Canis lupus familiaris: one gene and its partner. The protein of the gene in region 1 binds, or shares a complex with, the protein of each later gene. Links are inferred from orthologs where the notes say so. Each region holds a gene or a part of one and is shown on either strand. Other genes may lie near its edges.

Region 1 (6,527 bases):
CCTCAGACACGTCAGCCTGGAAGGCGGTGTGGGCCCTGCCGGGCGCCACCTTCTCGCTCCCCTGCCCGCCCAGCAGCCACACCGTCTCGCAAGCCGCCGCCCGGTCCAAGTCGCAAGCGGCCACAGTGGCCCCCTCTTTGGCCAGGCGTACACTGACGGCCCTGCCGATGCCGCTACCCGCGCCTGAAGTGGGAGACAACACGCGGAGGGGGAGAAAGGGACGAGTGGGCAGGGGTCACAGGTCAACAGGGCGCAAAATTAGGAAAATCTGGACCAGGGGCCAGAGGTCACAGAAGCTGCAGGCGCCGAGGGCATGACCCCGACAACACTCCGGCACCCCAACCCGCCCGGGGGTAGCATCCCCTCAACCTGTGACCAGGGCCAGCGCGGAGCGGAGCCTGAGCGGAGACGCCATGTCAGGCGGGCGGGCGGGCGGACACCCAGCACTCAGCCAATCCCAGCCAGGGGGCGTGGCCAGGGCGCAGCCGCGCCAATCTAGGCGCGACCAGCGCGGGGCCATCTGCGGCCACCAGCGCAGGCCGACCTCCCACCGCGGGGGCGTGGCCAGACACCACCACTTGGGGGCCTGGGCAGTCGCGAGATGAGGGGCCCCCATTCTCCCAAAAAAGACAAAGACCGCATGTGGGGCGGAAGATCCGAGGACTTTATTTCCGGTCACCACCCCTACCCCTCGATTCTAACAGTGATATCAATAGGAAAAAAAAAAAAAATCAGGCCATGAGATTAGCAACCCACCTCCTCCCTCAATCACTCCCAAATCAGGACACACGATTGATGTTCAATTGATGTATATCCCTGACTCCTCCTGCTACTGCCTCTTTCCAGGGCTCTGATCTTCCCTGAAGCTTCCACCAACAGGTGAGAGGGGGAGGCGGACCTCGGAGAAACCTGTGTGGTTGGCTTGGTCCTCTAAAACAGGTTGCGTAGGGTACACCGAGTAGGCTGTCAACACCCCCCTCTCTTTTCCAGCCGTCTTCATGGCCTCAATTAGCCTCAAACCCAAGATGGTCAGCACATTACTAACACTATGGTCGTTCTGACTTTTCACTCTCACTTCTGCAGCTCCTTTAAGACTGCAAAATCTTGATGGCCCAAATGCCAAAGTTAACACTTCCCTACGATACAACTTCCTTCGGCAGATGTCCCTGGCCAGGGCCCCCAAACTCCACAGACCCCTGACCTGGAGGGCTTAGAGAGGCTAGAGGTTTGGGATTGGGGCGGGGGTGGTTTACCCCACCTCTCACTCGAGGTGGGCAATCAGCACCATCATGACAACTCCTCCCAACAGCCCCAGCACCTCCAGAAGTGACTGCAATGGTGATGCCTCCCTCAACAGCTCAGGCAACACAGACACCGTTGCTACGTAGATAAAGCCACCTGCAGTGAATGGCAGAACCCAACCAGAACCTGTGCCACCCGCAACTTCACTTCCCACTGCCCCTCCTTCAGTTAGGAGGGCACAGGCTGTGCCTGCCAGTGCCCCTATCGCCGTCAGTAGTTGCAGACGCATCGCCTGGTGGGCAGAAAAAAACAGAAGACACTCAACAACATCTAAATATGATCAGTGGTTAGGCATGGCTGGTAGGGTATAGGTATATATGGACAAGGTGGATGTCTCTGGGAACTAAAAAGGAAGGCAAAAAGAGAAGGATCTAGAATAGACACTTTCCGTAAAATCTTAAAATACCAAGGAGATCCTTTCCAGACCTTCTGATTGAGTAGGTCAGGGTCGAGAGCAGTGTGAAAGACCCTCAAAGTATTCAGATGGAGTGTGGAGCATAGTTCAAGAAATACTCAGCCAAAGGACAAAGAAACAGAATTTCTCTGCCCTCATTTCTGGAGAATTTGTTGTTCTTAACAGTACAACTTGTTTGGAACTACTGAGAGGCAATTCTGAGTTTTGGATGGGTGAGTAGGAGGTAGAGTTCGAGGCAATCATGTCTGATGCACATCATCACCAACCTGCTTTTTGCTGCACCCAGATTGGACCAGGATGGCGAAATCCCCCACTTCATGGGGCACTTCGTGTAGCAGGACAGTCATTGTGGTCAGGATCCCTAGCCCCCGACCTCCTCTAAATGAAGCACCAATGGCCAGACCATCTGTGAAGTTGTGTGCCAGGTCAGCAGCCAGATTCAGGTACCCTGATACACGTAGGTCTTGTAAAAGTGGAAAGAAAGACAAAATGATTAGAGGCATCTAACACCCCTAGTTCTAGCCCTTATCAGCCATTATTACCTCTTCCCCCCAAGAGACCACTTCACACCAGCCCCTTCATGTTTTCCAGACAGCTGCCATTATCCACAGTGCATAGTCCAAGTAAAACATGATACACTTTACCCAAGTTTATCAATAACCCTGGCTCTCACCTGAACCTGTTTTTTCTTCTTCAGAATTCTGAGGTCTCAGTGGCCCATCTTTGAGCCTCGTGCTCCCTCCTTTCCTCTTCCGAGACCCATTTGCTTCCTTTTCTTCTTCCTCTGAGCTCTGTTTCTCCTTTGAAGGATACTCTGAGGGAAGAAGTTGTTTAAGAGTGGAGAACAGAGATCTCCAAAAATATCCCCAAAAAGGAAGTCTCTTCCTTTTTGCAGCTAAGGTGTTTTTCAAGGAAAGTTCTTCCTAGACTTACTCTGTGTTCCATGCCCATGACTTCCTTGTGTATGACCATGAGTGTGTCCATGTCCATGACTGTGTCCATGTCCTCCTTTCACATGTCTCACAAATTTCTCCACCACCAGAAAGGCAACAATTCCACTGAGGACCCAAAGTCCCACAGACAGAATAGGGCCCTGGCCTGGAAACAGAGGCATTGAGACATTAAGGGAGATGTGGACTCCAGACTCTTCTTCCCCAAGTGCAAGAGAATAGGGAGGGAAACATGGCCCCATTCTGGGAGGGAAACATGGTCCCATTCGGCAACATTCCAACACATCTTCATCCACCCCTTCCTCACCACTGTGGGAATGTCCATGTCCAGGCTGCTCCAGAGGGTGGTGTGAATGAGGTTCTAGAGAAAGGGGGAGAAAAGGCCAAATGAGGGAATAGCCTGCCCAAGTAGCGTGCATTTGGGGGAATACTGCAAAGTCAGGGGTGACAAAGATGAAAGAAGCCTTTTGCCTAAAGAATAAAATACATTAAGATTTGCAGTAGTTGCCAAGGATCACTTACCCAGGGCATGAGGGATGAGGTGCAGAAAGGCATCTCCTAGGAGCCCACCCGAAGCAAAACTCAGCAAGATCTGGAGCAGAGAGCGGTGCCGGGGAGAGTTTGATTCCACAGGGATAAGGAAGAGGACAAAAAATGGAGCTGCAGAGATCAGAACTGTGGCCCCCAGTGCCTGGTGAGGGGAAAGTCAGGGGTCAAGTGGTGTGGAGATTCCCAACAATCCAGAACCAGCCCCTCTCTCCCCTATCCCTTGGGGACTCACATAGGCCCAGAGAGTGACAGTGTCCAGGTCCTGCTTGATGCCCGGAGCCCCAGACTCCCCATAGCCTCCATGGCTATGCTCATGGTCATGTCCATGTCCTCTGTGGTAGAGGCTCTCATGTGATTGGCCATGGCTATGGCCATGGTGCAAATCCTCATGTGCATGTCCATGTTCGTGACCGTGGGTATGCCCATGCCAGATGCTCTCGTGCGTGTGGCCATGGCCATGGGCATAACTGTGTCCATGGTGGAAATCCTCATGTGAGCGCCTGTGGCTGTGGCCATGGAAGTCCTCGTGCAGGTCCTCGTGCAGGTCGCCATGACCCCCGTGTCCGGCCACTAGCAGCCCCAGGGCCGCCCACGTCAGCAGTCCCACGGCCACCCAGTGGGGGGCCCCCAGGCCTCTGGCCATCACGCTGACCAGAGGGGACAGAGACAGTGACTCCACTTGACCCTCAACTCTATACCTATGCGGGGTCAGCTTTACTTCATTCGTGCCCTCCGTCCACTTCTATGGGACGCTCCCCCATTCCGCTCTATGCCCACCCACATTGCTCCCAAGACTTGGTTTCTTTATCTCCAACCCCCTCCCGGATATAGGGCCCCCGGGACATCGCTCTAGGCTTCTTCCTTCACTTTACGGACTCTCTGGGCCCTAGTCTCTATGACCCACTAGGTAGTGGAAAAGGCCTGGAAAGGACAGTAGGGCAAGGCAGGGAATTCTCACCGGCTTCGGGATCCTCTCCTTTCCCGGTTTGCTCGGACGTGGCAGTCCTGCCTCTGGCTCCCGCGAGAACAGGAAATTCCGTCGCCCCTCGGTCCCAATACCTTTACCAATATGGCTGCACTCTGGAGGCCGCCAAGCTGCCCTACTCTGGCGCGCATGCGCAAGTCTGGAGGTTATTTGAGGGGAGGCTGGGCGAGGCCGGCTAACAGGGCTGAGGAGACCGCCTCCTCCGTTTCCAACTAGACGAGGGGGCGGGAACTAGCGCGGAGACTTCCCGTCTATACCAAGATGGCTGCCATATCGTCGCTGTCATTTTGGTACAGAGCCGAGCGAAGTGCTTAATTCGACCCGGTTCAGGCTAGAGTCTTTTTCTCTGGGGCTTCCTTGTGCTCGTCTGGTCCCCCGGTCAATATCTGGGAATCCCTGGTACCTCTTCGGTATCCTTGCACTCAGCCAAGAATCATGTCTTGGGCCGCTCGCCCGCCCTTCCTCCCCCAGCGGCATGCCGCAGGGCAGTGTGGGCCGGTGGGGGTGCGAAAAGAAATGCATTGTGGGGTCGCCTCCCGGTGGCGGCGGCGACGGCCCTGGCTGGATCCCGCAGCGGCGGCGGCGGCGGCAGCAGCCGGAGAACAACAAACCCCGGAGCCGGAGCCGGGGGAGGCTGGACGGGACGGGATGGGCGACAGCGGGCGGGGTGAGTGTCCTAGCGGACGGACAGGCGAACCAGTGACCGCGTTATCTGCGACCCCTCCCCCCCGTCCCCTGGCGCTCCTTCCCTGGCGCTCCCGCCTCCTTGTTTGTAAACACGCGTCCCCTCCCTCCGGAGGGCCCTAGCGCCCTCCCCCCCCGGGGCGGGGCGGGGAGGGGGAGCTTCCGCCCTCCTGGCTTTGGCTGTTTGAGGCCCTGCAGTCCTGAGGTCCCGTGCGTGGGACACGAGTCCTCGAGTTTGGGGGCTCTGGACGTTTGAAGGCAGATCCTGCGTCCGAGGAAGGGTCTCTTCCGCCCCTTTCCATTGTACGATCCGGCTTCAAGCTGGGAATGGAGGGGCTGTCCGTTCCACCCCACGTGCTGCCCCACCCACATAAGATCTGCCTAGCTGGGGGTGACCAAGTATATTGCTTGGAATTCTTTCTCACCCGAACTCTCCTGTCTTTTGTCAACCCCCTCTTCTCACCACAATTAGGAGTTAAACCGTTGTTTGACAACCGGGTGTTTCTGGACACGAGGATGGGTGGGGTGGAGGGGTGCAGTGGGGGTTAGAGAGAGAATTAAAGTCTCCAGTTGGATGATCTAAGACTCATTTTCTCTTTTTGTCTTTCTGTCTGTGTGTCTCTGTGCCTCTATGTACCCTTCCCTCAGACTCCCGAAGCCCAGACAGTTCCTCCCCGAATCCCCTTTCCCAGGGGGCTCCTCCCCCTTCTCCCCCTGGGTTACCCCTCCCCCCTTCATCAGCCCCAACCCTTGGAGGCTCCGGGGCCCCACCCCCACCCCCGATGCCACCCCCCCAACTGGGCTCCCCCTTCCCAGTCATCAGCTCTTCCATGGGGTCCCCTGGTTTGCCCCCTCCAGCTCCCCCAGGATTCTCCGGGCCTGTCAGCAGTCCCCAGGTGAGAGGTCATGGCTCACTGACTGCCTCTCCACTTTCATTTCCTTGTTTTCCTTGTGACCCCAGATCCTTGTGTGAACTTCCCCATGGCCCACTGACCTTCCAGTCCTCTAATCCTGGCAGGCCTGTGGTCCTTGTGAGACCCCTTGCCCTTCCTGAGGTGACTGATCTTTCAGTGCATGCTTCCTTCCCAACCCTATAAAAGGGTCCCTATGCTGACCCTATGCTGACGTCCCACTCATCTATCAGTTATTTTTGCCCTTTGTGACCCATCTGTTGTCCTGAGATACATGCCCTTCAGGGCTCCTGTATTACACAGTCTCAGGGAGAACTGTATGTCTAATCTCTTTGGGGTTGTGCTCCAGGGGTGGCCCTTCACAGAGACTACAATGTAAATAATGTTCTCTGTAATGTGCAATGCAGGCCCTGCCTAGGTGGTAGGGGATGATTTCCATGACCTTTGAGAGATTCTCCTTCCCATTGAGTCTCCCTGTGACTTCCCTATTTCCCCCATCCCAGATTAACTCAACAGTGTCGCTCCCTGGGGGTGGGTCTGGCCCCCCTGAAGATGTGAAGCCACCAGTCTTAGGGGTCCGGGGCCTGCACTGTCCACCCCCTCCAGGTGGTCCTGGGGCTGGCAAAAGGCTGTGTGCAATCTGCGGGGACCGAAGCTCAGGTACGAGGCTCAGGTGATCACCAAAAAGGAAGAAAGAGAGCATCTGACATTTACCATCACCTGTGGGATTG
Region 2 (6,563 bases), on another chromosome or scaffold:
GTGCACAGAGCTACGACATAAGTGAGACATCTAAACTCCTCCTGGTCAGGAGGGCAGTGAGCAGGTCAGTACAGAACGCTGTCGTTTATGTATCTTTGGGATATCACTGACTGCATTTGAAAGCCATGTAAGAAAGGATATTGGCTGGTTTTTGGCTTCTCATGTTATCTGCCTCTTCGCCTCTCCATTATGGATAACTGAGGTTTTTAATTGAGGTTTTAATATACAGTAGTGACATTCTAGAAGATGAAGGAAGGGGGCAGTCCCTGAGGGCAATCTGAACTTCTGCTTAGTATATTTACTCTTGCTGTTTTCCTTCCTCCTCATTTGTAATTCAGGAGGCTCTCTGAGAAGAGAGAGACAGCAAAGCTTCTTAGATGGATCGAAGGATCACGAGCTGGGATACCAAGTTCTATGAAAAGGTCTGCTATTGAATTTGCTCTACCTTTAGGCAGATCATTTGATCGTGTTGTGCTTTGGTTTCTTCCTGTGCTTGCTTGCTAAACGTAAATAACATGTATTTGACTATTTTGTGATTATTATAGAGTCTTTTAAATGTGTGGATGATTCATTTTTCCAGGCCAGCTGCTCAGGTATAAAATGAAAATCTGCTCCTTTGAGATGCTAGGCTCTACGGCCGATAAAATGAAAATCTGCTCCTTTGAGATGCTAGGCTCCATGGCCGTCAACTGACCTCCAAATCCTTAGGAGTTCAGCAGCCATCTAGTTGCTTCTTGTTCATCTGACACAGTTTACAGTCTCTGAGCTGTGGCTCCTCAAGTTTATTCTGTAGTTGGGGGGCAAACCTTTTGTTTCCTTTGTTTTCAGAAATGAAATGTCACTTTATATACTCTTGCTGTTTTCACCCTCCTCTTCCCACTACCCCCCTCTAGAAATACGAAGGCTTTCTTTTGGCACAGACAGAGCTCCTTTATCTCACACTGATTTCAGAGACAGGAGGGAGAGGTGACCTGGTAAACAAATCGTATTATCTGGACTGGCTAACACAGTTGCCTTTTGATGATTTGGGCCAGGGACCACTAGAGGTTTGAACTAGACTTAGGAAGGTTCAGGCTCTTTGCAGTTTTGGGAGGAAGCAGTCAGGGAGTATACTGAAAAGAGAGAACACAAAGTATCCTCCCCTGCCCCCCCCCACCCCATGTTTTTGTTAGTTAGTTATAGCCTACCTCATGTTAAGCAACAAGGTGTCCCTGTTCGACAAGTGCCAAGCTGAGATTCTCAGAACCTACTTTAAACGTTTGTGGGTAAAGAACAATTTTGTTCTTCACCATGCCACCGTGGCATAAATGACCATCTCTGAAGTGCAATATCAGAGTAAACGGAAAGGCTTCTTACTTTCTTTTGAACTAAAAAAAATTTTTTAAATGTATTTACATTATTTCTAGTGGAGTTCAATTAAAAGCAGTTTCTAAACAAACCTGGGAAGCTAGAGAGCCCGTGAAATTATGTTAACTCCTTAGTTGTAGCTTGGAGGTATAGCAGCAGGAAGGACTTCAGACACAGGAACACCGTGTGACCCCTTCGGTTCTGAAACGTTGCTAGGGCTCCTGTGCTAGAAAGGATCAAAGAAACATCGGGTAAATACTGCTCCTAGAACCCAGTTCGCTGGAAGAGCGTTGGTTGGGTCCAAATTTCCGTTCAAGGAAACAGGCAAGGGAGTCTAATTGAGGAGGGGTAGCGGGGGTGGGGGTGGGGTGGGGAGAGGCGGGGTTGTGTCTTCATTCTCCGACAGGGTCATCGATACATTAAAATATTACTTGCGGGTGCCCCGGCTGCAGGAGCTTCCAACAGTGGCAGAGCTTTCACGGATGCCTCTTAGAAGCTGCACCCAGCAACCTGCCAGGCGTGCGGGACGGGACTGGGAGGAGGGGTTGCTGATACCCGGTCTCCCCGAGATTCCCGGCGGCTTTGCCGCTGCAGCAGAGGCGGGTGGAGGCCCTGGGGGGTGGGGGCCCGGCTCGTCGGCTCTAAACGTAAACAGGACACTGTTTACCAACTGGCAGCGTCCGTCCCCGGCGAGGTGTCGGGTCTGACAGTCTGGACGTACAGACCGCAAGGAGACACCCTCTCCTCGCCCCCCCCCCCCCGCCCTCCTCCGGGGTCCGTCTGCACAACCGGCTGCAAGTCCTGCTGGGGTCCGGGAGTGGGGGCGCCCGGAGGCAACGACAAAAGCGAAGAAAGACCAGAAGCGCTGAGGGCACCACCTTAGAGGGGCCGGGACGCTTCAGTAACTCGCTTCGGAAGAAGCACCCCCTCCTACCCTAAGAAAGCGAGCAATCCTCTCCACCATTACGCAGGCGGAAGGCGGGGACGCGCGCCCGGCGACTGCGCGCTCCCTTTGTCCCGCTCCCCCCGCCGCCGCCGGAGGCTCGCGGAGCCGGGGGAGCGCGCCGCCGCGTCCCGTAAGTGCTCCGGGCGGAAACCGGTGCCGGCGGCTGCGGCGTTCCGCGGGCGGAAAGGAAAGGGGGGGAGGCAGGAAGGGTGCGCGCCGCCCGCTCCTCCCCACCCCCCCGCCCCCCCGCCCCCCCGCCTCGGCCCTGCAGGGGCTGGATGGGCAAGTTGGGCGCGATGGCTCGAGCCCGGGCGGCGGCGGCGGCGGCCGGAGGCGGCGGCGCCTCCTCCTCCTCGCCCCGGCGCCGGCGGTGATCCGAAGGAGCGGCCGCGGCCCCCGATGAGACTGTTCGTGGGCTGGCTGTGCCTGAGCCTGGCGTCCGTGTGGCTGGCGCGGAGGATGTGGACGCTGCGGAGCCCGCTCACCCGCTCCCTGTACGTGAACATGACGAGCGGCCCCGGCGGGCCGGCGGCGGCCGCGGGCGGCAGGAAGGAGAACCACCAGGTACGCGGCCCGGCGGGGGCGGGGGCGTGGCGGCCGGGCCTTCCCGCGCGGCCGGGCTATTGTGCGGGGCTCCGCGGCCGCAGCCGCCGCCTCCCGCCCCCGCGGGCTGTCGCCCAGTCGCCTCGGCCCTTCGGAAAGTTTTCCCGACGTCTCCCCGGCCGGGCGCCGCCTCCGGGCCCCGCGGGCGCCTTTTGTTCCCGGGCGCGGGCGGAGCGCGGCCTCCCGGTCCTCCCCGGGCCCGGAGCCCCGCATTGTTCCCGGGCCGCGGGCGGCGGTCGCAGGCGCAGGGGCGCCCGGGGTGCGGGACCTTAGGGGCGGGCGCGGGGCCGCGGGCATCCACCGGGCACCGGGGCCTGCGGTCTGCACCACCGGGCCGAGCCCGTGACCCGCGCGACCCGCGGCCGCCGCCGGCCTCACCCCCACCTCCCACCCCGCACCCCGCACCCCAACCCTTGTTTGTCTGCTTCAATCTCTCAACATACAAAGGGCCATAAAGAAATGTAACCGTGCATCGTGAGCCTTTTTAAGTCTCTGGGCTTAAGCGGCTGACATTTTTCCCTCTGCAGTTAAATTAAAAAAAAAAAAAAAAAAAGGGTGTTTGACAGGTCCTCACACTCCCATCCTCCTGAGCCTCCCCCCCACCCCCTCCACTCCTCCCTAAGAGAGAGAGAGAGAGAGCGAGCTCTCCTTGCAACTTCAGTGTTTTGGTATCTGACCAGAAAGATGTGGTAAGAAGGAAGATGATGCAAGCTTTTCCTGGAAGGGATTTTTTTTTTTTGTTTTGTTTTTTGTTTTTTGTTTAAACAAAACAGAATTAGGCAGGAGTGAATTCTTTTTAGAGTTGCGGATCGTGAGCTCTGCAATGTGACCGGTTAGGGTGGTCTTTTCATGATAGTTTTGTGCCACTCCACAGAAGTATGTGTGCAGGTCAGCTGTAGAAGGAAGAGTGGAGGAAAATTTAAAAAAAAAAAAAAAAAAAAAGGAAAAGTGACATTTCATATTTGACCGTAATGTAGTGTGTGGTTAACCCTGCCTTCATTGAGAAGAGGCTTTCTAACTCTGCCAGAGTGCTGGCCTAGGATTGCTAGCGTCTATAGTACATCTTGCCTTTGCAAGGAGCAGGAAGCGATTATTCCCCATTTTGCGTCTCATCATTTTTCATAGATTTTTGTTTGTTTGTTTTTCCTGTGTTACAGCATTTATTATGCCAGGCGTTCGGAGAGTTTACACGTGAAGAATTATCTAAGGACTTAAAGCAATTCATTAAGAAAAGTAGCGGTTTAGTTTCTATCTAGTAATTACCGGTCACGGCCCCTTTTCTGTTTTTCAAGGAAATAATAAATTTCCACGAAAGAAAAAAATTGTTTTCTGTCGTGACCCCACAGCTCTTGCAATTTGTCAGGGAATCATGCCTATGGTATTGTTGGGAGTGTGTACCTAAAGTCAGTAGGTGATCTTAAGCTGTAAAACCACATTCTTTGCTGTGGGTTAATTGCTTAACACTTATCCTTCTCAGAGAAACGACTCTAAAGTACCGCAGTGATAATGTAGTTACCAAAATGTCACACATCCGTATGGATGGTGGTGTAAAACAATGAATTAGAAATGTCATTTTCAACAATTGGTAGAAAGAAGGTTCTGGGTAGGATAAAAAGGAGACTGATTTCCATTGATGTGGAATTATGGTTCGAATCTCTTAGCTGTAGGTGTTTATGATTCTTGTCTTGATTACTTCTACTATAACACACTTGATATGTTTTCACTGCTTGTAGAAAAATTGGTTATATTTTAAAAATTGAGAAGCTGATTAAGTAATTTGTTTTTTGTGGAGTGTAGTTAGAATATATATATATCCTTAGCATAGCCTCAGAATATCTCCTAACAGGGGATACCTTCTAATCGTGTACCTTTTTAAAACTGAATCAGTTAGGTTCTGAGGAAAACTAATACTGGTTTCAGATACTTCGTTTACTTTGTTTCGCTTCTGAGCTACTCAGGTATGTGTGTACACAGGTGTGCTTTAACCAGTTGGACTAACAGTTTGGCAGCTAAGTTCTCCAGGTGAAGACTAATCTGGTACTCTCTGAATATTTAGGGGGAGATTGGCTCTTTTCCATAGAATGATCAATCCAGACATTATTTTGAGATGAGACATTGACATTATGAAATATTGCCTATGAATAAAGATAAAAATGAACAAAAGAAATGTGTATGTAGAAAGCATGGTGAGATAAAGTGAAAGAGGACGCTGTCCGCTCTGCAGAGTGTCTGTTTATGGTTTGTTATCTGCTTTATATTGCAGCATCCTAGGTGTGCCTCATAAACTATCTCACTTATGAAGTAACTTAACACTAATATTCTTTCCCCCTTCAAATTTATAGTTTCATCTAAGGTTTTCTGGTGTTCATTTGGGTGTGTGGGATCCATCGCCAGCCACATCTGGTTCTTTTGGACTTGCATGAAAGTGGGGTTATGGATTTAATTGAACTGTACTTAGCACAAGTTTTCTTTATGGTTATTTTATTAAGAAATTATGGTGGAGGAGTCTGGTTAAAAGAGTTCTTGGGAAATGTTTATCATTAAAAATTGCTATTTAGTTACTATTGCCTGGAGGTGAAATATAAGGCTCTTTTGAGCTAAGGTTGCTCTAAAACTATAGTAGCAGCACCATTTTAATAACTTGGTTGGTGTGCTAGCTTCAAATCTGGGATTATTTTTTCACTTTGGGCAAGAGAATAGCACGGAAGGGCTTGTCTTGGAGCTGGGATATGGCTTGCAGGCCAAATTGGGCTCACTGACTTTTTTGTTATAGCCTATGAAGTCAGAATAGTTTAACATTTTTAAATGGTCACAAAAAATATATTTTGTAATATGTGACAGTTTCTTTTATGAAATTCAAATTCCAGTGTCCACAAATAAAGTTTTGTTGGCACAGCCACCACCTTCATTTACTTACTGTCTGTAAGGGCTTCCTCACTAACAATGGCAGACTTGATTGGTAGGTACTACAACCTACAAGCCTTAAGTATTTATTGTGTGTCCCCTTACAGAAAAAGAGTTTTCCCCAGAGAAAATTTCCAGCTTCCTTCATCAGCAGCACATTTCTTAATCACAGGTTGCACAGTGGGTAGTTTGACTCATTGGGAAGAAATAGAGCCAGGCAGTGAGAAACTAGATATGTCGCTTTTTGGTATGGGCAGGCTTAGAACTTAAAAAGAAGGTAGCAACAACAAACACTTTGGATCTAGTGTTTTTGATGCATTGTACCTAGTACTTAAAGTTAATGCAACTATTATGGAGCTATTGAAACTTGAAAGGGCCATTCAATAGTTTCTGAGTTGATAGAGTAGAAAAAAGAATTGTTATGGAACTCCCTGGAACGAGGCCAGGACAGTTTCTTCAGGCGATGCACTGTAAGGATTTTTAAGAGCACAGGTAACACTGGTTATCTGCAGTTAGTGAAGTTTAACTTAAAATTGCAAAAGTTTGTGTATAGTTATTTTTTCACCTTATATAACTTCAGAACTGTGTTATGTTACAAACAGTGATGGAATTTTTTTTTCTTTTTAAACAGTTATGGATTTAAGACAGAATTGAAACTATTGGTGTTTTGTTTTTGTTTTTTCCAAATGAAAAAAAATACTTGGACATCACAGTCATAGGTCAAAGTGCTGCTAATGGACAAATTCAGCCTCCTGTCCCCTCA

Evidence for each region.
Region 2: the proteins of SLC39A7 (region 1) and METTL9 are in contact, whole or in part, in a crystal structure (PDB 8GZE), measured with the Homo sapiens proteins. The link is inferred for Canis lupus familiaris from reciprocal best matches to the Homo sapiens genes SLC39A7 and METTL9. Residues at the interface, in NP_001070984.1 of Homo sapiens: Gly65, His66, Thr67, His68, Glu69; in NP_057109.3 of Homo sapiens: Arg114, Thr115, Asn118, Arg123, Gly124, Met126, Met179, Asn210, Asp213, Arg214, Val241, His245, Tyr247, Glu249, Trp255, Tyr295, Leu296, Cys297, Glu298, Asp300, Tyr306, Val307, Leu308.

Annotation. Positions count from the first base shown.
Region 1 is NC_049233.1:2,816,506-2,823,032, reverse strand, and holds SLC39A7 (zinc transporter SLC39A7 precursor), read right to left. Parts: upstream 4,241-6,527; 5' UTR 3,860-4,240; coding exon 3,449-3,859; intron 3,359-3,448; coding exon 3,190-3,358; intron 3,029-3,189; coding exon 2,975-3,028; intron 2,816-2,974; coding exon 2,651-2,815; intron 2,532-2,650; coding exon 2,391-2,531; intron 2,181-2,390; coding exon 1,984-2,180; intron 1,535-1,983; coding exon 1,262-1,534; 3' UTR 644-1,261; downstream 1-643. Other genes in the region: HSD17B8 (estradiol 17-beta-dehydrogenase 8), read right to left, coding at 1-183, 370-415; RXRB (retinoic acid receptor RXR-beta), read left to right, coding at 4,637-4,868, 5,534-5,781, 6,300-6,456. UniProt on the Homo sapiens protein: Transports Zn(2+) from the endoplasmic reticulum (ER)/Golgi apparatus to the cytosol, playing an essential role in the regulation of cytosolic zinc levels.
Region 2 is NC_049227.1:23,462,679-23,469,241, reverse strand, and holds the start of METTL9 (methyltransferase-like protein 9), read left to right. Parts: upstream 1-2,569; 5' UTR 2,570-2,692; coding exon 2,693-2,857; intron 2,858-6,563. UniProt on the Homo sapiens protein: Protein-histidine N-methyltransferase that specifically catalyzes 1-methylhistidine (pros-methylhistidine) methylation of target proteins.